Pelodiscus sinensis: one gene and its partners. The protein of the gene in region 2 binds, or shares a complex with, the protein of the main gene of each other region. Links are inferred from orthologs where the notes say so. Each region holds a gene or a part of one and is shown on either strand. Other genes may lie near its edges. The genes, in order: NDE1, RAB9A and SGSM1.

Region 1 (7,638 bases), on a different chromosome or scaffold from region 2:
TACAAGGAGAGGCTGAGGGATTTGGGTCTATTAAGTTGGCAGAAGAGAAGAGTGAAGGGGGATTTGAGTGCAGCCTTCAATTACCTCAAAGGATAGTAAGTAGTAAGATAATTGTTAAGGCCTTAACAAAGATGCTTATTATCTTACCCATTACAAAGATAGCTTCCCCAGTTATCACCTCTAATATCATTATCTCATAGACACTCACCTCCCCTCCCCCCATCCTTCCTCTATTCTAAAATCTGATTTGTCTATTGTACATGTGTTCACTTTTTTGATTGTATCCCTTTGGTATATAGGGTCATGCCAATTTTCTTCCACAATTTGATCTGAGGAAGTAGGTCTGACCCACAAAAGCTCATCACCTAAAAACCATCTTGTTAGTCTTTAAAGTGCTGCATAGTCCTGTCTTTTGTTTCAGATTTTGGTAGTCTTCTTACAAACGAGGCAATTACAATAACCATTATTATTTGTTATTATTTGTATGGAAGAAGTGCTTAGGAGAGGAGACCCAGTCTTTGACTAGGAACCCATTCTTCTGTTTTGGAACTGGATAATCATTTCAACAGCTTAGCTTCTGAAATCTAAATCTTGCTATAAAAAGCTTATTGTGAAACTCATCAAAATTCAACCTATTTAACATGAAATTTAAAATTTTAATGTTTTAATATTCATACAAGTTATTCTTAAAGTCTTAACAATACTGTACAAATGGTAACTAATTAATATTAAAAACCAGCAGAATATTGGACATTGATCCCAATCTTGCAAACATGTATGTATATGCTCAACTTTATTCAATTTAAGCATGTCTGTTTGCAGGATATAGATCATTGTCAAATGGAGTCTGGTCTGTTTTCTTAACTTATCCAAAAAACCAAACATTTTTAGTAAGTTATGGGTAGAATTAAGGAGTACTGTCAATTTGGTTTTTTGAAAAAATTACTAATTTTATAAACTTCCAGAGCTAGTACAACATCTTGTAGCTGTGTGTTCAGATTTCCTTTAAAAAAACAAAACTTATATAGGTATGCCAACCTGCAGTTGAGTATACGGTTAAGCTATAAGCCTTATTGGTTATTCTTATCAACTACATGCATTTCCCTCCCATTGCTGCCGCTGTACCAGAGGTGGCAATGGGGTCGGGGGTGGAGAACGGTAGCCGGTGCAATAGGGAGTTCAGCTTTTAAGATGGCTCTCTTTCAGTGCTGGCTCCATGGAGCCACCTCCTCCACCCATGCTGCTGCCTGTATCGGGGGGGGGGGGGCAGGGGATACTGCCACGGAGCAGCCTCTGTCCGCAGCTGGCCCAGGCTCACCGTGGACAGAGACTGCTTCATGGATGCCAGGACAGCCTCTGTCTGAGGGAGTTCAGATCCCCCATAGAGAGGGGCTTCTGCCACCCCATGCTGCTGCCTCTATAGCAGAATCAGCAGAGCGTGGTGGCAGGCAGGAACCAGTCTGTGCGAGGCGCCGATTTTTAAACTAGCTCCCCTCATGGACCGGTTCCTGCCTGCCACCCTGCAGTGCTGCCTCTGACAGAGAGGCAGCAGCGCAGGGTGGCAGGATGCTCCTCGGGAGTGGGGCCAGGAGCGCACTGGCTGCTGGTCCTACCCCCTGGGGACTATTGAATAGTCATGGAACCGATAATATTTTGTGTGGTTAAATGACTGTTCAGTTATTCGCTGTCTAACATCCCTAAACTTATAATTGTAGGGAGATTTTTTTCCCTCCAAATCTGTAGATGTTTATAATCTTCTAGCTACAGGTGAAATACACAAAATGATCATATACTATAAATCCTGTTAAATTCATAGAGTAATCAAACAAGAAAAACAACACAGGGTCAGAACTTGAACTGGTATAAATGGGGGATGCTCCATTCATGTCAAAATAACAGCTCCCATTTACACCTGCTGAGGATCTGATTCCAAAAGTGCTTTGTTAACTTCTCAGTTGTAGATATTTTAGTTGTTGAATATCAGAGGGGTAGCCGTGTTAGTCTGAATCTGCAAACACGACAAAGAGTCCTGTGGCCCCTTATAGACTAACATTTATTGGAGTGTAAGCTTTTGTGGGCAAAGACCCACTTTGTCGGATGCAATGAAGTTGAGCTGTTGAGTGTCCCTTTAATATCTGAATCTTCTACAAAAACATGAACTGCCACATCAAATGGCCCGATCCCCCAAAGACTCTAAGTATGTAGGCACTCCTGTTGGAGTTATAATAATGCAAGTGTCTAAGTCTTTATAGGATTGGGTTCTAAGGACTCAAGCCCAGATCCTCAAAGATATATAGGTACCTAACTCTCATTTAAATGAATGGAATCAGAGCCTGAACTTGCATTTTTGAAAACAATGGGAATAGGACAAAGTCCTCTGTCTTCTGCTTATGTATGTGGGTGCCCATCATCGGGTTTCTTGTTAAACTGGCAGTTGGATGTGCACAATAACTAATAATAAGATAATACGAGTAGTCGTGCAGCACCATAAAGACTAACAAAAATATAGTATCATGAGCTTTCGTGGGTAAAACCCACTTCATTAGATGAGCTGCAGTGGAAATAACAGAAACCAAGATATATATAACAGCAAAAAAAAAAAAAAGTATCTGTTAATTGTAAGACCAGTGCTAGTTAAGTGGTCTGGAAGTGTCCCATTCTTAGTTTTTGATGTAAAAATGCAGCTGTTAACGGCAGGGGAGATTGGCTTTATAATGCAACATTTCTCTGTAATTGGATGGTGAATTTCTTTGTAAAAGAATGACTATTTTTAAATTCATGATTGTGTAACCAGGCAGGTTAAAATGTTCCCCTACAAGTTTATGTGTGTTACCATTTCTGATATCTGATTTGTATCAATTTTTCTTTGTCATAGAGACTGTTCTGTTTGGCCAATATACATGGCAGAGGGGCATTGCTAACACTTGATGGCATATATCACATTCGAAGTTGTGCAGTTGTATGAGCTCTTGATGATGTGGTTTATGTGGTTAGGTCTTGTGATGGTGTCGCTTGTATAGATATATGGACAGAGTTGGCAACAGGGTTTGTTGCAAGGGTGTTCCTGGGTAAGTGTATTTGAGGTGTGATGTGTGGTGGCTGGACAGGATTTGCTTCAGGTTGGGGGAGGGGTGTTTGTCTTCCTAGGTCTTTGAGAGTGGGGGATCATTTTCGAGGATAAATTGTAGATTGTCAATGGTGCACTGGAGAGATTTAAGCTGGGGGCTTAGGTGATAACCAGTGGTGTTCTATTATTTTATTTGTTGGACCTGTCTTGAAGTAGTTGATTTCTGGGTACTTGTCTGGTTCTGTCAGTCTGTTTCCTCACTTCCTATTTTATGTGTTATCATTTCTGTCTGATTTATAATAATCTTTATATCTTAATAATAAGATACTCAGTGACGTATGTGGGTTCTATCACTCACTAAAGTAGTAATTTGTGGTTCTGAATCCTTCAGGAAGCAAATACCAGACACACCTACTGAGCAGGTATTTGTATGCATTATAGTATAGACACACACCTATGGTTCTTTAGCAATACTGAGTATGTCTTATCCGTATTAATTACTAAGCCAAAGGAACTGGATTCAAATTTCACTAACATCAAGTCATAGAGTCTTCATTAGACTTTTGGATCAGGCTTACTGCTGTGGTGAACATTCTTGTACTCAGCATCCTGGAGATACAAAACACCATTATGGGGTGCTCACATCACTCATAGGTTCTGTTTAGTCCTACTGTGGTTTCTTGTGTACTTTGTGGAGACATGTAATCAAAAATGAGATGTAAGTAAATGCTGCATTCTAATGTCTCATAGTGAACCTAATCTTAGTACTGTTCACTTCAGTGAGAGAAGTATGGCACAAAGAGTATCTTTAATGTATACATTGTGTACTTTTATGGCATTTAAAATAGTGAAGGCTACATACTGAGGTAAGCTTTCGTTAAAACTCACAAGTCCGACCAAACATGATTTTTAAATAACCAAAGCGTGAGGAAAACTTTATTTCTTAAAATTATGGGAGTGTGGGAAAATACAGTTTCTAAAATTATGAGCGGAGGCTATTTAGACTCTACTCGCACTACAGAGCTTGCAAACACTAATGCGAGTGCTTAATTTTGGTCAGTTAAAAATTAATCACGGATATATGGCAATTTGCAGCATTAGCACCCATGTCTTCTTATGTCTTCGGTGAAGCAAGCCCCAAGCACGCGTATGGATGGTCTAAAATAAATATTGCACCAATAACAAGAGGAGGAAAGCTGGAGTCTCCCAGGCGATACATTGCTTGCGCAAGACATCGAGCTCCTTAAACGGGGGGAGGTGCGCATGAGATCCTTGGGGCTGTGCTGCGTCATGCCCTGAGCTCTCAGCCTTATCTCATCTCACTAGCCTGCCGCTGCCCCCCGGCCCGACTGCAAGTACAACTGAAAAGTTAAAAAAAAAAAACCCTTCGAAAGACAAAAGTTTCCAAACGTTCCAGGAGCAATATTTTACCAGAGCTGATTGGAGGAGCTCTTCAGGCCACGTGACCCTACAGCCAATAGGGTGTTGGCCCGAGCTTGGTTGTAATGGTTCGGATGGAGCACCGAGGGGCAGGGTAAGAGGCTGGGACTCGAGTCGCGCTAGCCCGAGCCAGTGGCTCTAGGAGTGGGACAGAGGGTTCCTGTGCCCCGCGTGGGAAGTGGCAGAGGCTGGAGCTGGAATCTTTCTCCTGTGGAAGTGGTGAGCGCTCAGGGCTTTGCTGTGTCTCTTGGAAGTTTGGGGGAGAGCAAACTCCTAGGATCCGCCTATTCCCTCTCCCCTTGTGTCTGCCCTGCTGTGTGGGGTCGGAGCAGGGAGGGTTTCCACGTGGCCTTGTGGGGGGGACGGGAGTTGGAGAAAAGCAACAAGAGCCCCTTCTGCCCACATCCTGCATCGCTCTCCTCTGAGGCTGTGGAGGGCATGGGGCTCGGAACAAAATAAGGCTCCCTGCTTTCTCTATGGCTCCCAGCCCTAATTTTCAGCCTCAGCCGTTTCTGGAACCGGACTTTTATGTTTTGTCGAAATGTGTAAATGTCCGCAGTAGTTTATTTTCCTTTCTGGGTTTGGACTAGCAAATACAATCAGAATCCCTTCTGCTTGGGAGAACAGGCTCGTGGGTTGAGGCCAGGAAGCCCTAAGGAACAAGCTGATGTTTCAAGAGAGAATTGTCTTGATCTGCCGAGTTCCCATAGGACTTAAAAGAATTGGATTTGGATGAGTACCAGGATTCTTGATTAGGGGCTTTTTTTCTACTGAAACCCATTTTGCACAGAGACTCCTGTGCTTTGATAACCTTTTTGGACTGGACTGTTAAATAAACTACTAATTACTGTTTGGGGGTAACCCCTTTCTTTTTATCCCTTTTTGTGGCATTTAAACAAAAAGAAATAGTCCCTGTTGTGACATGAAGTTCAGCTTAGGAAGCAGCTTGAAGATAATGTATAGTTTTGGTAAGTTGGTAGAGGGTGTGAAAACCTCTTTTCTACCAGACCTGAGAGCCTATATTCTAGTGGTTAGAGGAAGATGCCCCATATGAACCTAGTTCTATCTCCTCTTACCCTGTTAATGGAACACAAATTACTTGTCCAAATTAGGGATGTTAAATATCAGTTAATTGAATAGTTGAGTAACCTCAAGAATTCTTATCGGTTAGTCGACTATTCTGTAGTCCCTGGGAGCGGGGCCAGCAGCTAGTGTGCTCCATCCTCATGCCTGAGGAGCCCTCTACCACTCCATGTTGCTGCCTCTGTATCAGAGGCAGCAGTGCAGGGTGCCAGGCAGGAGCTGGTTCATGAGAAGAGCCAGTTTAAAAAACAGCTCCCCTCGCATACCAGCTGCCTGTCCCCCTGTGCTGCTACCTCTGATAAAGAAAAAGTAGCGTGGGGTGGCAGCAGCCCCCATCTGGGGGGATCAGAGTTCCCGGACCCATTGTGAGCTGGAACTGAGCGGGGCTGCCTGCCCACCTGGCTCCTAATACACTTTAAATGCAGAGCCACAGCAGAGGTAAGTCCCGGACCCATTTCAAGCCAGGACTGAGCCAGACTGCTAAAAATTTTACTGGCGGGGCAGGAGGTGGGAAATGCATGTAGTCTATAGCTTTTGCTTATTGGTTAATTGACTACACTATTACATCCCTAGTTCAAATAGAATGTATAGACTCTATGGAAGTGTGGGTTGTGACAGTTCTACCTTGTTCTTACCTTTTGAAAGGGTCTTATTCCTGTTCTCACTAATTTTTTTTGGAGGGGGGGAAGGAGGGCATGAATCTGCTCTGAATGTTGTTGACATTGTTAACCAAATCAAATAGATCCTTAAAATATTTCCTCAGAGCTGTTTTGGCCTGGCTTTTGCAATTTCATATTAGAATATGCCATATAAAATTCTCCTGAGTTTGCTTAGCTCTGATTCTAATTACAGTATTTGAATCCCTATACTAAAATTACTTTGAAGATGGCTAACAGCGATGCCACGGTGATTACAAACTAGTGTTTGGCAGTACTGTCATCACATTGGTGAAATCACTTCCTGGAGTGACACATGTAACCATTATTTTCCTCACTGTAAAAGTTCATCCCATGTCCCCAGAAAACTCCTGTATGAGACAGAAATTTTGTAATGTCTGTGACCAGCTCAGCTGCTTACAGGCAGGAAGTATGGCCAGATCTTTCCTTCTGGTTTCTACATTTACAAAAACAAATGAGGTGCAGCCAAACTGTGTGCATTAGATAAAGTTAGAACCTTGCGTTTTGATGGCAGTAATAAAGTGTGAGCAAAATGCTGGTAGAACCCTCTTCTCAAAAAAACTACAGAATTGTGTAATGTATAATTTGGTGTGATTTAGCTGTGTAATAGTAGCCATCTCCCTTGGGGAACCTCACGCAATTAGCCCTGCCTGCCACTCTTGGTATGAGATGTGAGGTTTAATTAGTAGAACTAGCTGGGTATGGAAGAACTGCTAATACCAGGAAGCTGTCAGTGAAAGAGAAGAGATGTTCAGGGACAAAGACAGCTGGAGCGAGTAAGTTATAGCAGAGAACCCTGACTGAAGGAAGGCCTGGGAGATCCTCAGTGGAGGGGAGAGTGACTGAATCAGAGAAAGCTTTGTTTGGAAGTTTGATTTAAGAAGAGGGCAGCAGTGACAGTGCATCTATCTGCATAGGCCCCTGCCATTGAGGGCGTAGTTGAGAGGCCGCAGCCTGTTCACATGTGGCAAACATAAACTGTTACTAAATTTAAAAACAACTAATAGTCTTGCAGCTATTAAAGACGAACAAAACATGTAGATGGTATCATGAGCTTTCATGGGCATAACCCACTTCTTCAGATGAATGGATTTATTAAAGGTCCAGTTTCTAAATAAATAGAGGATGGGAGGAAGAGAGGAGGAAAAAAAGGGAAAGAAATAGAGTGTCAGTGCTACATGAAGCTGATAGAGAAGGCACAAATTGTTCTTAAGTACCCATTGTTTAGTATTGTGTGTCATTAGGATGTGGACTGTAGTGGGCCATCCAGCCAATGTCTTTATTCATACCTTTTTGATAGGAATCTAACCTGTAAACTTCTAAGGCTTTCCTATGTAGTTGGCTTGTGGAATTAGCCAGAAACAATATGGT
Region 2 (7,526 bases):
CAAGCGGCTGTTTAGGCTCCGCACTTCCCGTACTGCATGAGGATCATGGAGCCCAAACAGCCACCTGCACTGCTTGCCCCCGCACGAGGAGCCCAAACAGCCATTTGGGCTCCGCGGTGCCCCGAATGAGAGGCAGGAGGGGGAAGAGAAGAGAAAGGGAGAGAGAGGCAGGAGGGGGAGAAGAGAAAGAGAGACGGAGAGACAGGCAGGAGGTGGAGGAGAGCGCTGGGGGGGGTGGCAGGAGGAGGAGGAGAGAGAAAGACGGACATGGAGGAGAGTCCTGAAAAATCCCGTTGTATGAAGGGTTATTGGCAAGTTCCTGAAAATAATCAGTGTAGCAGCATTGCGCAAGAGGGTTTTTCTTGCGCAAGAAGGGGCAGTATAGATGCTCCTTCTGGCACAAGAGCCTCTTCCGCAAAAATGGCGGCTCATTAGGTATTCAAATGAGGCTCGGTGATATTCCATGCTTAGCCTCATTTGCATATTTCTGGCACACCAACCCACCAGTGTAGACATAGCCCAGCTGTTCCTCCTTGCGCCGGGTCCCAGAATTACTCCCACTACAACTCTACACTCTAAATGAAGTAGGAGTTGGCCTGCCTACACATCCGGTTCCTACTACATTTACACTGCTACGCCACAGCAGCCTCTTATCAACTAATCGTATACGCAATACAAATTGTATCAACTACATGATTAGTCATTTACTCGATACTTAACATCCTTATTCAGAGTAACTATTCCCAAATACCTCCATGTGTACGCAAGACCTTATTTCAGTTTGAGCCAGGTTTATTTCAGTCTCAATCAATTAGAAACAGGTTTTTAAGGTAACAAATAACCTCCACACAGGTTTTTAAATAACTTGGTTTAACTGTACCATTACAAGACAGTGTTTAGACAATGGTATAGGTCCTTTGTCTCAAATTTAATCTAGCTGCACCCTTGGATGCAATTCAGTGGTGAGGCTGCCCTTCTGCATTGTTTCTCTATCACTTTGCTGTACTTATAGTTTACATCCTCTGCTGGATAGCTTATCGTCACATGCATGACAGACTACCCGATCTGTATCTCAAGGCAGCTCTACTGTGGATTTTTTTCTGTTTTGTTCCCTGCTCTCAGATGATTATGACCCACCTACCCACTAGAGATGTCAGCAGATACCTGGTTGCACAATTAACTAATAAGCCTGGCCTTATCAGTTAATCTTAACAGTTATACGTATTCTTCCTTTCCCCCCTCCTTGCTGCCTCTGTATTAGAGGCTGCAAAGGGGGGAAGGAGGCAGGAGCCAGCTCCCCACGGATGCCAGCTCCCACCTCCCACAGGTAGGGAAGCAGGCAGAGCTGATACATGCAGCTGGCTTTCCGCATGTGCTGGCTGTCCCCAAAGGTGGGAGGCAGGTTGAGCCGCCTACCCCAACACTGCTGCCTCTGTATCCCCTACTCACAACTTCCAACTCCTCCCGAGTGTAAACAGTTACACTTTTACAACACACACACATTTGGTAATATCCCTGGTATGTCTTGTCAGCCCTGGTCTTCCCAACTGATGTGTAGAATGTTGTCATGATCAGTGGAAACCCAGTGCACAGACACGTCTGGTGATCCCATAAATGCTGCTTATTGCTACTAGAGAGAGACAGGAGGTTCAGTATACCAGTTTCCATTGAAGTTCAGTCTGCTCTACAGTTTCATTAAACATTATAGTAAGCGACCATTGCCTTGTTAGTGGAGAAGCCATTTACTCACCTAGGATAAGGATTGGTCAACAGGTCATAGTGGGAGGAGCAAGCAAGCAGCTATCTAGCTCAGTCATCTTCAAATTGTAGATCTCAAATCTAAAGCGGGTCATGAGTTATCTTAATGGGATTTCCTAGGTCGGCAATAGACTCGCTGGAATTTGGAGCTGATGCCTGAGAAAATTAGCTTTGTGGGGTCATGGCAATTGTCCTGCTTCCCACCTCTTAATGTTAACCCTGATTCTAGAACACTGTGTATAAAGAAGTGTAGTAATTTTGTTATATTGAGTCCCAGTGCAACAAAATTTGAGAAATGGTGATCTAGCTGATAGTAGGGATGTAAAGATCATTCAGAATACTTTACTGGTTAACCATTTACATCCTTAGTCCTATAGGAAAGAGTAGGGGGCGTAGTACCAGTCAGAATGAAAGTTATTTGCTGAACCAAACACACTAGCCACTTTTCAAACTTATCACAAGACCTATTAGATATTTTTTTCCTTTATAAAAGAAGTGTATTTTTAAAAGCAAATAGAACTCCATAAGAACTGGGATGGGTGAAGACTAAATTCTCTGTGACTCCAACAATTCTCTGTGATCTGCATGATTAAATGCAGATCTAGTTTACCTATTCTATTGTTAGATGCTACTATGATGGGTGATATATATGAATCCTGTGAACACTCCAGTTCTTGCCTTTACACCTGCTCAGCTATTTCTGAAGCAGCAATAGTATTAAAATTACATGATTTGACTATGAAACTAAAGAAGATGCTGGCAGTTTTGACACAGGACTTTGAACAGCACTGAAATTATGATGGGGTTTAACTACACAGAGTCAGACAAATGACAATACATTCTCTTACGTTTGGAAAGAATTTTTTTTAATTAACCAAAAAATGTTTGTCCCAGTCTAATGTGGGAACTTCCCTCTCTCCTGTCGCATATAAGCTACATGCGTTTTCCCTTCTCTGTAGTTACCTCCTTGCTTGTTAGAACTGTTATCAGAGTTACTCGGAGGAAAGCAGATTTGGAAATCACCCTATTGAGGCGCCAAAGCCTGCCTGCCTTCCTTCTCAGCCGGGCCGCGGGAACATGCCGTGGCCAGGGGCTGCTAGTCACGGAAACATACACACCGCCCTCCCCCGCAGAGGCGGAGCGAGCCCGTGACAGGCGGGTGACTTGCCTCGGTGCTGACACGGCGCCTGCAGGGCAAGGGATCGCTCCCGCAGTCACGCGATCGCTAATCACGCCGCAGCCCATGAGCGCGCACCACAAGTTTGAGCAGCAGCAACTCGGCCCCCATCTTGAATGGATCGTTTCCACGCAGCGACACCCCCCCCCCCGGGCCCGGACCCCGCAACTGCCACCCCCCCCCCGGCTCCCAGCAACTGGCGCAGGCATCCCCGGGCCAGGGCGGACCCCGCTGCGGGGCAGTGGCGGGGGGGAGGGGCTGCCCGCACCCGCCGAGCCGCCGCGACCGGTGCCCGCGCGCTGTTACCTGCCGGGGAGACGCCGCCACGGGTGTCGGAGCCAGGGCTGCGCAGCTCCCGTCCCGCCGCTGCAGCCAGCAGCTAGACAGGGGAGGGGAGGGGGAGGAACAACATGGCGGCGGGGGAGGCCCCCTCCAGGTCATGTGACCTGGGCCGAGCGCAAGCCCCGCCCGCCCGAGGCCGCTGCGGGGGGGGGGAAGGGAGCGGCCGCCCCCTCACCCGACAGCCGCTCAGTGCGGGCCCCCGCCCCGCCTCCCCTCACACCGCCCCCCACCGGGCCGACTCAGGCCGGGCCAGTGCCCGGAGGAGCCGCCCGGCAGGGAGCCCGCCCGCCCACAAGGGTCCTGGGAGACATCAGGCCTCTCGCTCTAGTCGCGCCACTTGCTTCGTCCTCTGTGCCTTGTGAGACGGACGCGCAGGCACTTGGAGGCTGCTTTTTGCCGTTGGGCTGCCACTCTGCCCATCGCCTCCGCGCTTTTTCTATTAAAAAAAAAAAAGTTTGCCACCTAGTATCCCTGTTGAGAGAAAAACATTGAGTCATCAGCCACCCAGACACAACAGCCTTGTACTGGGATTAAAATAATTATTCCCTGTGCTCAGCGGCTAATTCAGAAGGAACTAAGGTCCCCTTTGCTCCAATCTCGAGGTCTGGCTGAGTGGGCATCCAGCGTTGGGTCATCAGGAGGACAGGCCACATCCCACAGTAGATCAGCAGGAGTTAGTGTAGTCAAGGCCTTAGAAAGCAATCGAGAGGCAATTTGTTTAGCCTCTGGAAGGTGACTGAACCTTTTGTGCCTGTGAATGTAGAGAAATCCCCTGAGGCTAGTGGCTGGAGCAGTATTGATGGACACAGAGGCATTTGCTCTTCTTGGCCAGAAACAGGTGGCTGCAACATTGGGATATTAAAGGAGCAGTGAAGGAAAGTAAAAAGTGGGCCCAGGAAGTGGGGAAATCTTGGGTAACACAAAAGGCACAAAAAAGGGACACTGATTTAGTAGGTTTATGAAATAGTTGCAGGTAGACAATAGCTCACCAGAGCCATAGCATTGTTTTATCTAGTCTGAGATTATGACTGGTTCTATTACATCACTCATGAACAATACTGCACATGCTCTGGCCTCACCCCTTATTGAGAAATTGCACTTAGAATAAAATAGTGCATAATGAAACTAAGACCACACCTTTTCTGTACCACACATTTCAGATATGCCTCTCTGCAATTTCATCTATGTTTTTCTTTCCTTTTTTAGCTAAATTTTCTGTCAAGCAAAAAACCTGGTTCAGCATGAAAGGAAAAGTTAAGTGAACCGTAAGAGACAGTATTTCCATGTTCAGAATTGAGTTAAGTGTTTGATACACTTAAAAAACAACAAATTGTCTGGTAGCACTTTATAGACTAACAAAACATGTAGATGGTATCATGAGCTTTTGTGAGCACAGCCCACTTCTTCAGATGACTGGAGTTTTGATACAGTTCCTCACAAAATCTTATTTCTTAAAACAGGACTGGATATGAATATATGAAATGGAACAATGTACTGTACTAATTGCTAATTTTATATAATAAATTAACTAGTCAATTGAAAGGCAGAACAAACAGCTTGTTAATTATATCTGTAAAGTAGAAGACATACTCAGCATTGCTTCCGTCCTTCAGGGCAGGGGACCGGAAGCAATCACATACTATACACATATAATTGTCCTGATGTAACCACAGGGTGCATTTGAACCTGGAGCTTAGTATAGAAGCCTCTACAGCCTGATCTATAAAACCAGTTGGCTTTCAGCCCATGTTGTAGAGGTCTCTTGTTCTTATCTGTTGTTGTGGTCTAGGTGTCACTGCATGGGACGGTGAACCACACTGGGGCTGTGTCTACATTAGCATCCCTTTTCCGGAAAGGGATGCCAATGAGACACATTGCAATTGCAAATCCCCAGGGGATTTAAATATCCCCCGCGGCATTTGCATTTACATGGCTGCCGCTTTTTTCCGGTTTGGGGATAAGCCGGAGAAAAGCGCCAGTCTAGACGTGATTCTCCGGAAAATAAGCCCTTTTCCGGAGGATCTCTTATTGAAAGTAGGAATAAGAGATCCTCCAGAAAAGGGCTTATTTTCTGGAGAATCACGTCTAGACTGGCGCTTTTCTCCGGCTTATCCCCAAGCTGGAAAAAAGCGGCAGCCATGTAAATGCAAATGCCGCAGGGGATATTTAAATCCCCCGCGGATTTGCAATTGCGATGTGTCTCATTAGCATCCCTTTTCCGGAAAGGGATGCCAATGTAGACAGAGCCTAGGTGTGTGGATTACACTGACAAAACCAAACCCTGATATTTCTTTAAGTTATGAGAAGAGGAAACTACATGCCAAATTTGGTGGTTCTAGCTCTTGCTATTTAGGAGGAGTTATTGAACAAACAGATTCACAGAGGGACACACAGACAGAAACTCAAACTCTCTCAGATATATAGTAGATAAAATGAGCAGAACAAAATGACATTGAACTAAAAAAAATGTGAGTACAACTGCAAGGCCATTGAAAATCTACTATATGACTACTTTCTCCTTTGAATTCTAAATTTATATGTACAATTGGACAGTGACAGAAAGCACAAAAAGTCTGTGAAAGATTATTTTCCTCTCATTTACCCAGAAAAGAAAGTTACTAAACTCTTAGGCTGCGTCTAGACTGGCAAGTTTTTCCGCAAAAGCAGGAAAAACTTGGCAGCTGTCTACACTGGCTGCTTGAATTTCCGCAAGAACACTGATGATCTCATGTAAGATTGTCAGTGTTCTTGCGGAAATGCTATGCTGCTCCCATTCGGGCAAAAGCCCTCTTGCGCAAATGCTTTTGCGCAAGAGGGCCAGTGTAGACAACGCGTTATTGTTTTGCACAAAAAAGCCCCAATTGCAAAAATGGCTATTGGGGCTTTCTTGCGCAAAACTGCATCTAGATTGGCACGGACGCTTTTCCGCAAAAAGTGCTTTTGCGGAAAAGCGTCCGTGCCAATCTAGACGCTATTTTCCGCAAATGCTTTTAATGGAAAAAGTTTTCCCTTAAAAGCATTTGCGGAAAATCATGCCAGTCTAGATGTAGCCTTATTGTAACTTTTGTTCTTCAAGATGTGTTGCATCTGTTCATTCCACTACAGGTGTGTGCACACCTTGTGCATAGTTATTGGAGATTTCCCCTCCACCACCCACTCAGAATGCTATGCAACACTGCACCACTATTCACAGATATAAAGGGAGGAGCTGCCTCCAACTCCTCTTAATTTCTTCCTATTGAATAGACTCAGAGAAGGGAAGAAATTTGACAACTCAAAGAAGAAAAAAAAGGTTACAAAAAAAAAGGTTAGTAACAATTTCTTCTTCTTCACCAGATAGCACATGTCCATTCCACCATAGGGGACTAACAAGCAATTTAAACTTGAGGTGAGTTTGCAATCTACTTGAACAGTGATTGCAGGACTGCCCATCCAAATCTGGCATTATCTCTGGTTGATGAGAGTTGGTGTAGTGAGAAGCAAAGACTGATGATTAGGTTCCTAGCTTACAAATGTCCAAGATGTGCGCACAAGCCTCAAAGACTGAAGAAGATGCCTGAGATGTGGTTGAATGAACAAGCTGTGTACTCTGGAGAGCATTATTAGCCAGTTGATAGCACTAACAAACACAGCTGGAAATCCACGAGGAATGACAACAAGCATAACCAAACCTGAGTACTTTCCAATCATTTATAAGTTACTAGAGAGACTTTACCAGCCAGAAATCTATTCCATCATTGCTACAAATGATACAAGGATTTTGCAATCATTTATATGTATATGATCTACTAACCATTTATAACTCTCTTCAGGCATGTCTACACTACGAAATTATTTTGAAATAGTTAAATTTGAAATAACTCCTAAATTAACTATTTTTAAATAACCTTCTCCGACAAAGAAAGCAGGAATACAGATTTTGAAATAACCAGCCAGTTATTTTGAAATAACAGGTTTGGTAGTGTGGATGCTCTGCTTAGTATTTTGCAATAACACCATAGGGTAGACTAGGGCTTCTTTTGTTAGTAAATCTTAAAGTGGTTTACTGAGGATTTGTTTACAGTGTGACGTCTGGATAAGATCTTAGATACATATTGCCATGAAGATAAATGCCTAATTCTCAGATATGGTGAATGAGATTTTCAATAACCCCTTACCATATTTGGCTCTCATAGAGACAAGTGCTGGAATGCCTAAAAGGGACTGTGTTTGGCTCTTGTTAATAAGCAGGGCTCGACAATTAGGTAAT
Region 3 (7,499 bases), on a different chromosome or scaffold from region 2:
ACACCACTCATGCTTTTATAGACCTCTATCATATCCCCCCTCAGTCTCCTCTTTTCTAAGCTGAGAAGTCCCAGTCTCTTTAGCCTCTCTTCATATGGTATCTGTTCCAAACCCCTGATCATTTTCATTGCCCTCCCCTCTCTCACCCTCTCTCTTCCCCTCTCCCACCTTTTTTTCCCAGTCTCCCCGAGTTTTGTTCAATAAAGAGAGTTTCTATTTTTGAACACACGTGTCCTTTATTTGGTACATCAGGAAGGGGAGCTAGGGAGGGGTAAGTGGAAGGAGGTGAGGGAGGAATGGGGTATGAGCCCCCGATGGGGAGGACTGGGCTGGCTCTGCGGGCTCCTCGGGGTGGAAACTCTCCTGAAGCCCCTTGATTGACCCCCCCTCCGGATGGCAGCCTGCGGCAAATGCAGCCGGGCTGATGGCCGAGTGCTGTGATGTGCTGAGTGTGGGCACTCAGGGCACTCCAAGCCAGGACTGCTTTGCAAGCGGAGAACCCCTGAGAACTGTCTGTCCGGGGTGGGGATCGGGTCCCTTTAAGCACAGCCCTCGGCTAGCCTGAGGCAGCATCTCCACGCTCTAAGTCCTAATCTGATGCCCTGCCGGCACTGCTTCCGGCCAGCCTTAACCTCGGTTCAGGGTCCACTCAATGTGGACATGCTAGTTCGAATTAGCAAAATGCTAATTCGAACTAGTTTTTAAGTCTAGATGCGCTAATTTGAATTAGCTTAGTTTGAATTAACTAATTCGAACTAAGTTAGTTCGAATTAGTGCTGTAGTGTAGACGTACCCTAACAGATTTATTAGGGCAGTGGTTCCCAGCCTGTGGTCTGTGGACTCCTGGTGGTCTGCAACAGTATTATAGGGGGTCCACAGAAAGTTTAAAAGTAAGGATCGGGCTCCCCTCAGGGCTGGAACTTTTCTCTACGTGATTCTCACCTGGAGCTTGCTGTTCACGACCATCTGTCCTCCTGCCACCAGCTGCACTGCCGTTTACGCTCCAGCCCTCTTCCCCCTCCCAGTCCCGCAGTGGGCCTGATCTTTTCTTTTTCTTTTTTTCTCCCCCAGGACTTCATGCCCTGCCAAGGGCAGAGTGCTGAGGCAGGAGATGCCTTTGGCCACGAGAGCCTCCTCGCCTGTATTCTCTGTGGATGGGCAGGAGACAGAGAGGGTGGGAGCTGAGGAAGCAGTGCAGGCCAGGGGACATGTTGGCCGCCGCATTATCAAGGAATGGAATGTTTGAAAACAGCTATATTGTTTGAGGGTTCCATAAAATGTTAATAGATTAAAAAGGAGTCTGTATGCTCAAAAAGGTTGGGAACCACTGCATTAGGGCACAAGGTAAGCTAACGCCTCCTTATTATAGGCAAAGTGAAAGCAAGGCCTATCAATGCAAACATTCATCTGACATGCCTCTGGCTGGAAATAATCGTAGGCTCTCATTATTTGGGGAGAAGCTCTTCTTCATTCTCTCTAGCCAAATTCTGCCTAAGTATAGCCAGGCAGATGGCTCTTCACCAGACAGGCATATTTTATGAATCAAAAGACCCCTCATTTTACACAGGGTTAGTTAGAACACAGATGAATTGCAGATGGCTACCATGGAAGAGGCTTAGCATTAAGCTGGTGTCCAAAGGGTCTGGCAGGGTTTCTCCAAGCTGCTGAATGCTGAAATCACAGCTATCATGGGGAATTATTGATGAAGTTGCGTAAATATCCCAGAGAAACTCCAGTAGGTGGATTGCTATTGGCATTAGCAAAAGGAAGCTCTGCTCAGGACCTGGGAGAATATGTGGTTACCTGGATGGTGTTGCCAGCTTCTGGCAACTTGCTTGGCCCTGGCTGGATTCCCAGCTGTGGCATGGACAGAATTTGGTACACTAAATGAAGGTCACAAGCAGAATGAGAGGAATAGGGAATACTTCTCTGCACTTGTATAGGATCCAGCCATCATTTGAGGATCTCTCTTTGCTTTGCAAACATGAATTAATTCAATATTCACTGAACCCTTCTGGTGCTGGCATTCTAACCTCATTTTTCAATTAAAGAAACTGAGGCCCAGTTCAGCTTTGCTTCACCAAGCTGCCAGCAGCAAGACGGTCACAACTTATTTGCATATGTTGAAGTTGATTGCAGCTGCCTTCATCTTTAACATGGTTTGTCGTTATTAGGAACTGAACTGCAAAGGAACAAAGAGCCCGTTTCTATGGAAATGTCCTTAGAAACAACAAATGAGGGAAGAGAAACACAGGAGATATGTTAATGAGACAGAGGCAGAGATGTTTCTATGTAATTTACAATATTTCCGTGTGACATCTATGTAGTTTAGTGGGCTAGCCCTCTCCAAATCATCACCACTTCCTTGATCTTTACTCTCTTGATACTGGAAAGGCAATGGGCTAGCTCCTGCAGATGGGCATAACTCCACTGAAGTCAATGGGGTTATTCCACTTTATGTCTGATAAGGATTTGGCTCACACATAACTTCCAAGACTTTTGGATCGAGAAAGACCATAGTAAACCAGGGGATTATCTCTGTAGGTTGGAACCAAGGTTCAGGTTTATCTTTTCCATCCATGCAGGGAATACATTTTTCTATGTGCACCGAGGCATGGGCAGACATGCACCACCAGTAGAAACAAAAACTTAGCTGTGGGTGCTCTGCTAATCACCTGGGCAGCATTTGAATCTTTCCCAAGCAGCCATTCAAGTGCACAGCTCACAGGGAATATTGGTTGCAGGCTTTCTGCATTAAAGCTGCAGGCTGTCACCAGGGGCACCATAATTCAGCGATGTCATGCTAAACACAGCAAGCTTGACCCTAATTTCACTTATCTCTGGCCCTACCTCCACAGGGCATGTCTACACAGCAGGGCAAAAGTCAAATTAAGTTACGTTACTTCAGGTACGTCAATTGTGTAGCTGAAGTCTAAATAGCTTAGTTTGGCTTTTGGCACTGTCTACACAGCAGGAAGGTGAAGGAACAACACTCTTCCTCTGACTTTCCTTATTCCTTGTGAAATGGGGGTGACCATGAGTCAAAGTAGGAAGTCCTCCAGTTTGACATTATTTTAAATAATGGCTTGCTGTGCAGACGCACACTATATTATTTTGAAATAAAAACAGTTATTCCGATATAATGCTGCTGTATAGACATAGCCTCAGTTACCGGCATAAGTGAGCAAAAGGGCCAGGCCTCCAGTGTACTTGTGAGTGCATATATAAAGTCATGGGGACACTGTGACAAAGGTGTCAATGCATACAACACAAACAGTCAAATTGTGATGCACAGTGAGTGGTTCATGAGAGGTTTGTAGGCTGGACCAATGATGATGATATACACCCACTGGATCATTCTGGATAGCTGGGGTCAGCCCCAGGGTAGCTGGGTCCACATTTGTGCTAATTTTGCCCCTCTTACTAAAAAGCAAAGGCCAGCTGGTTCGGAGGCTAGCCTAGGAAACCTCCATATGGGGTACGTCTACACATCATAGTTATTTTGGAATAACAAAGTGTGCATCTACACACAAGCAGTTATTTCACCAAAATGTTGAAATAATGTCCAGCCGGAGGACTGCTTACTCCGACTCCTGTAACTCTCATTGCACGAGGAGTGAGGGAGGTCAGAGGAAGAGTGCTTTATTTCAAAATAAGTGCTGTGCAGATGTGCCCAAATTTGAAATAAACTATTTCAACTTAAGCTATGCAATAAGTGCAGCTCAAGATGTATAGCTTATTTTGAGTTTAGCCCTGCTGTGTAGACATACCCCATCTGATTCCCTGCCACAGACTCCCTTTGTGCAGAGTCACTTAGGCCCAGTTCTGTAAAGGTATTGAGTGCCTAATTCCCCTTGACATCAGTTGAAGTGCCTATCTGCCTTCAGAGACTGGGGCCTTAGCTTCTGGGCCTCACTTCTGTGCATAGCCTAGGGGATAATAGTATGGATCTGGCCCTGGTATTATTAAGCACAGGGAGGGCTAATAGGGTTACCAGCTGGCTGGTGTTTGACTGGCCTGGTTTGTTTATGGATTTGCCAGTTGCCAGAAAAAAATATTGTAATCTGCCCGGTATTTTTACATGGGTAGAAAGATTTGCAGTATTCTCCCAGTACAGTGCGGTAGCGAAGGAGGAAAGTTTTGTGGCCAGCTAAGGATGCTGCAGTGTCCCCAGCCCTCATTTGATGCTCTGGGTCTCATGTTTACACATTATGGCCCTGGGGGGGGGGGGGGGGGGGGGGTTGCAGAGCTGCCTACTGGTTGGGAGGCTTCCTTGGGGAGGTTACTGGGGTGACCCCTGGGCGCCAGGTGGAAGCAGACTCAGAGCTCTGGGCTGCTCTGAGGGGGAGGGGGTGTCCCTGGTTTGGTGTCCCCCCCCCCCCCCCCCCGCAGAGCCCGGCGCCTGGGCTCTGCAGCGCATGGGCAGTGCGCGCTGGGAGGGTGGGACCACGCAATGGGTGTTTTAGGGGCTGGGAGGGGGCAGACAGACGCGGCTGCAGGACGCGCCCCGCAGGCTGCGGAGAGCCCAGCCCGACTCCGCACCTCCCCGCCCGCCGGTCCCAGGCAGTGGGCGGCGTCGCTGGCCCAGCCCAGCCCGGCTGCTGCCCGGCTCCCTCCCGCGGGCTGCTGCAGAGGCGCAGACGCCCGGCGGAGGAGCAGCACGATGGCCGCGGCTCCGGCGGGTAGGACGGGGCGCCCTGTCGGGGGGATCCGGGCGGCGTGGCCGGGCGGCGCCGGGGCCACTAACGCGCCTCTCCCCCTTCTCCCCACAGAGGCGGAGACCCGGCAGAGGCTGCTGCGCACCGTCAAGAAGGAGGTGGGTGCGGGGGGGCGCCAGATATGCCGGGGGAGGGGAGTGGAGGATGCGCCAGAGGTCTGTGCACATCTGGATCAGCCAGTGCCTGGGTTTGGGGGAGGCACCGTATGTTTTTTTGGAGGCATTACATGTAGCTGCACATCTGGATTAGCCAGTGCCTGGATTTGAGGGAGGCACCGTTTGTTTTTTGGGGGGTATCACATGTAGCTGCACATCTGGATTAGCCAGTGCCTGTATTTGAGGGAGGCACCGTTTGTTTTTTGGGGGGTATCACATGTAGCTGCACATCTGGATTAGCCAGTGCCTGTATTTGAGGGAGGCACCGTTTGTTTTTTGGGGGGTATCACATGTAGCTGCACATCTGGATTAGCCAGTGCCTGGATTTGAGGGAGGCACCGTTTGTTTTTTGGGGGGTATCACATGTAGCTGCACATCTGGATTAGCCAGTGCCTGTATTTGAGGGAGGCACCGTTTGTTTTTTGGGGGGTATCACATGTAGCTGCACATCTGGATTAGCCAGTGCCTGGATTTGGGGGAGGCACCTGACGGTTTTTGAGGAGTACCACAGTCAGCTGCATAGCTGAATTAATTGGTGCCTAAGGTTTGAGGGGTAAGCTCCTGACGGTTTTGGGGTTACCACAGGTGGCTGCATATCAGGAGCCTGAGGTATGGGTGAAGACTAAAGAATGCTCCAGATGTTGTTCCGGAGCATGAAGGGGTCAGTGCACCTGGTTGCCTATGGAATGGCTCTTATTGGTTGGAGGGATAGGGCTATATCTCTTCCCCTCCCATCATGTTCATTTTGTTTGTGATTGCTGCAAGGTTGTGAGTCCTGATGGCTCTGTTCTGAACAGCCCCGTCTCCTATTTGGCCCTCTCAGCCAATGGGGATCTAGTGATTTGCGGTGTTGCAGGGCTGGGGTTCATCTGAGATGCAGAGTTGTTTTGATAAGCAAATCTTTCCTTTCCCCCTATCTCCAGATTGAAGTGCTGGGATCTCTGCTTGTATCTGTTGCAACCATTGCCAATAACTGTCCCTTGCTCCCAGCAGGCTAGGTCACCAGGGCCCTGAGCCAGCAAAGGTTGTGTAATCACTAGCAGCAGTTAGGAGTGATTTAGTTGGACAGTCAAAAATTCTCATCCGTTTGCACCTTCTAAAGGAGAGATTGGCTTGAATCCTGGGTGACTGCATGAGCAAGGTCCCCATCACCTCTCTGGGAGGTGAATTGCTGGCCACGTCCCTTCCCTGCATGGAAAGAATTCAGCAGAGTGAGGGGGAGAGCCGGTTTGCTTGCTTCCTGAGGGGCTTCAGCAGGGGAAGTCAGCATCAAGCTCACAGCCACTGGGTTGCTTATTGGCATGGCTGTCCCTGCTGGTACATGCACAGGTCTCGGGTTTTCTAACATGACTCTGTGAGTAAGTAGTTCGGAACGTGAACACCTCATTTTGGGTGCTGAAAAGAGGCACATGAAGCCTGACTGTTTATGTCATTTTGAAAAGTGACTGCTTGGTCACTGGCTCCTGTTCCCGAGGGGGTTTTATTGGCTGCATTGACACAAAAGAGCTTAGTATTGGCAGGGATAGACTTTCCCTGAAGGACTCTCGGGCTTGATTTTTATAGCTGTCTACAGGTAATGGAGGAGCAGCAGGGCCCAGTGATTAGTGGAAGCCTGGGCTCTTGGGTCCTCATTCTAGCAGGTCCTCTGATCTGCCATGTGACCTTGGCAGAGTCACCTCAGCTCTCTCTGTGTCTCAGGGATGCTATGAGGTTTGTTAACTGCTATTAGATCTTCAGAGTCAGGGGCCTGTACAGATATGAAGGGTTGTTTCCATTTATAAATCCTTTAGGGTATTGGCATTGCTTGTACCATGTTAGTATCTAGGAGCCCAGTTGTGAATCAGAACCCCACTGTATTAGCCATGGTACAGACAGAATAAAGAGACAGCCCCTATCCCAAAGAGCTCCCAGTCTCAGTGCTGTAACCATTAAAGGCTATGCTTTGATAACACACAGCTACATTCTCCTTGGGTTGATTGGGGAGAGAGCTGTGTTAGCAGCCGTCCTGGAGGTGTACTGCCTGGAGGTGCTTTGCTAGATTGCCCCTTGTCTCGTTTTGCCTCTCCCAAGTGAGAGCATCCCAAGGAAAGCATACACTTTGTCTATAGTGGAATTGCAGACATGAGTCGTTTGTGTGAGCAGAGCCTGGGAACTTAGCACCCAGGTTCAGCTGTCTTGATCCTTTATTTTTCCCTCTTTTCAGGGTTTTAGTCAGCTCCTTTGAGAAAACTCATGGGAGGGATGTGAAAGGTTAACTGGTAAGCATCACCCTTAATGGAACCCCTCCAGTCTTCCCTTTAATTGGTTAACTGGTTAAACATCACGTTTTTACATCCCTAATTCAAAGGCCCAATATTTACTCTGCTTAAAAAAGAAGGCAAAGCAGCATCTTTTGGGGTGATAGGATTCTGGGCTTAACCCAAGTCCCAGGTCACCTTCACCCCTTGCCTCCTCGCCAGAAACGGTGCTTTAGTGATCATTTTAACAGTTGTTTTGGCTCCATCTAATCAGGGAAGTGCAGCCCGCGGGAGCCCCCTCGTTCTTTGGAACCCGCAAGTGGAATGTATATTGCACAGATTGTGCGTGGACCCTTTCTCTTCTATTTTGACAGTGTGGGACTTGCAAA

What was found.
Region 1: the proteins of RAB9A (region 2) and NDE1 are in contact, whole or in part, in a crystal structure (PDB 7E1T), measured with the Homo sapiens proteins. The link is inferred for Pelodiscus sinensis from reciprocal best matches to the Homo sapiens genes RAB9A and NDE1. Residues at the interface, in NP_001182257.1 of Homo sapiens: Ile40, Val42, Phe44, Asn46, Gln59, Trp61, Arg68, Phe69, Ser71, Leu72, Pro75, Phe76; in NP_001137451.1 of Homo sapiens: Asp99, Gln102, Thr103, Ala105, Ile106, Gln109, Leu110, Tyr113.
Region 3: the proteins of RAB9A (region 2) and SGSM1 are in contact, whole or in part, in a crystal structure (PDB 4QXA), measured with the Mus musculus proteins. The link is inferred for Pelodiscus sinensis from reciprocal best matches to the Homo sapiens genes RAB9A and SGSM1. Residues at the interface, in NP_062747.1 of Mus musculus: Phe37, Thr39, Ile40, Gly41, Val42, Glu43, Phe44, Leu45, Trp61, Arg68, Phe69, Leu72, Phe76; in NP_766306.2 of Mus musculus: Leu256, Leu257, Tyr258, Gly259, Lys260, Asn261, Asn262, Tyr277, Asn294, Met297, Asn298, Gln361.

Annotation. Positions count from the first base shown.
Region 1 is NC_134726.1:18,250,765-18,258,402, forward strand, and holds the start of NDE1 (nuclear distribution protein nudE homolog 1), read left to right. Parts: upstream 1-4,581; 5' UTR 4,582-4,601; exon of another isoform or gene 4,602-4,726; intron 4,727-7,638. UniProt on the Homo sapiens protein: Required for centrosome duplication and formation and function of the mitotic spindle. Essential for the development of the cerebral cortex.
Region 2 is NC_134711.1:213,171,910-213,179,435, forward strand, and holds the start of RAB9A (ras-related protein Rab-9A), read right to left. Parts: upstream 3,049-7,526; 5' UTR 3,004-3,048; coding exon 2,927-3,003; intron 2,870-2,926; exon of another isoform or gene 1,751-2,869; intron 1-1,750. UniProt on the Homo sapiens protein: The small GTPases Rab are key regulators of intracellular membrane trafficking, from the formation of transport vesicles to their fusion with membranes.
Region 3 is NC_134725.1:38,031,259-38,038,757, forward strand, and holds the start of SGSM1 (small G protein signaling modulator 1), read left to right. Parts: upstream 1-4,490; 5' UTR 4,491-4,663; coding exon 4,664-4,682; intron 4,683-4,772; coding exon 4,773-4,816; intron 4,817-7,499. UniProt on the Homo sapiens protein: Interacts with numerous Rab family members, functioning as Rab effector for some, and as GTPase activator for others. Promotes GTP hydrolysis by RAB34 and RAB36.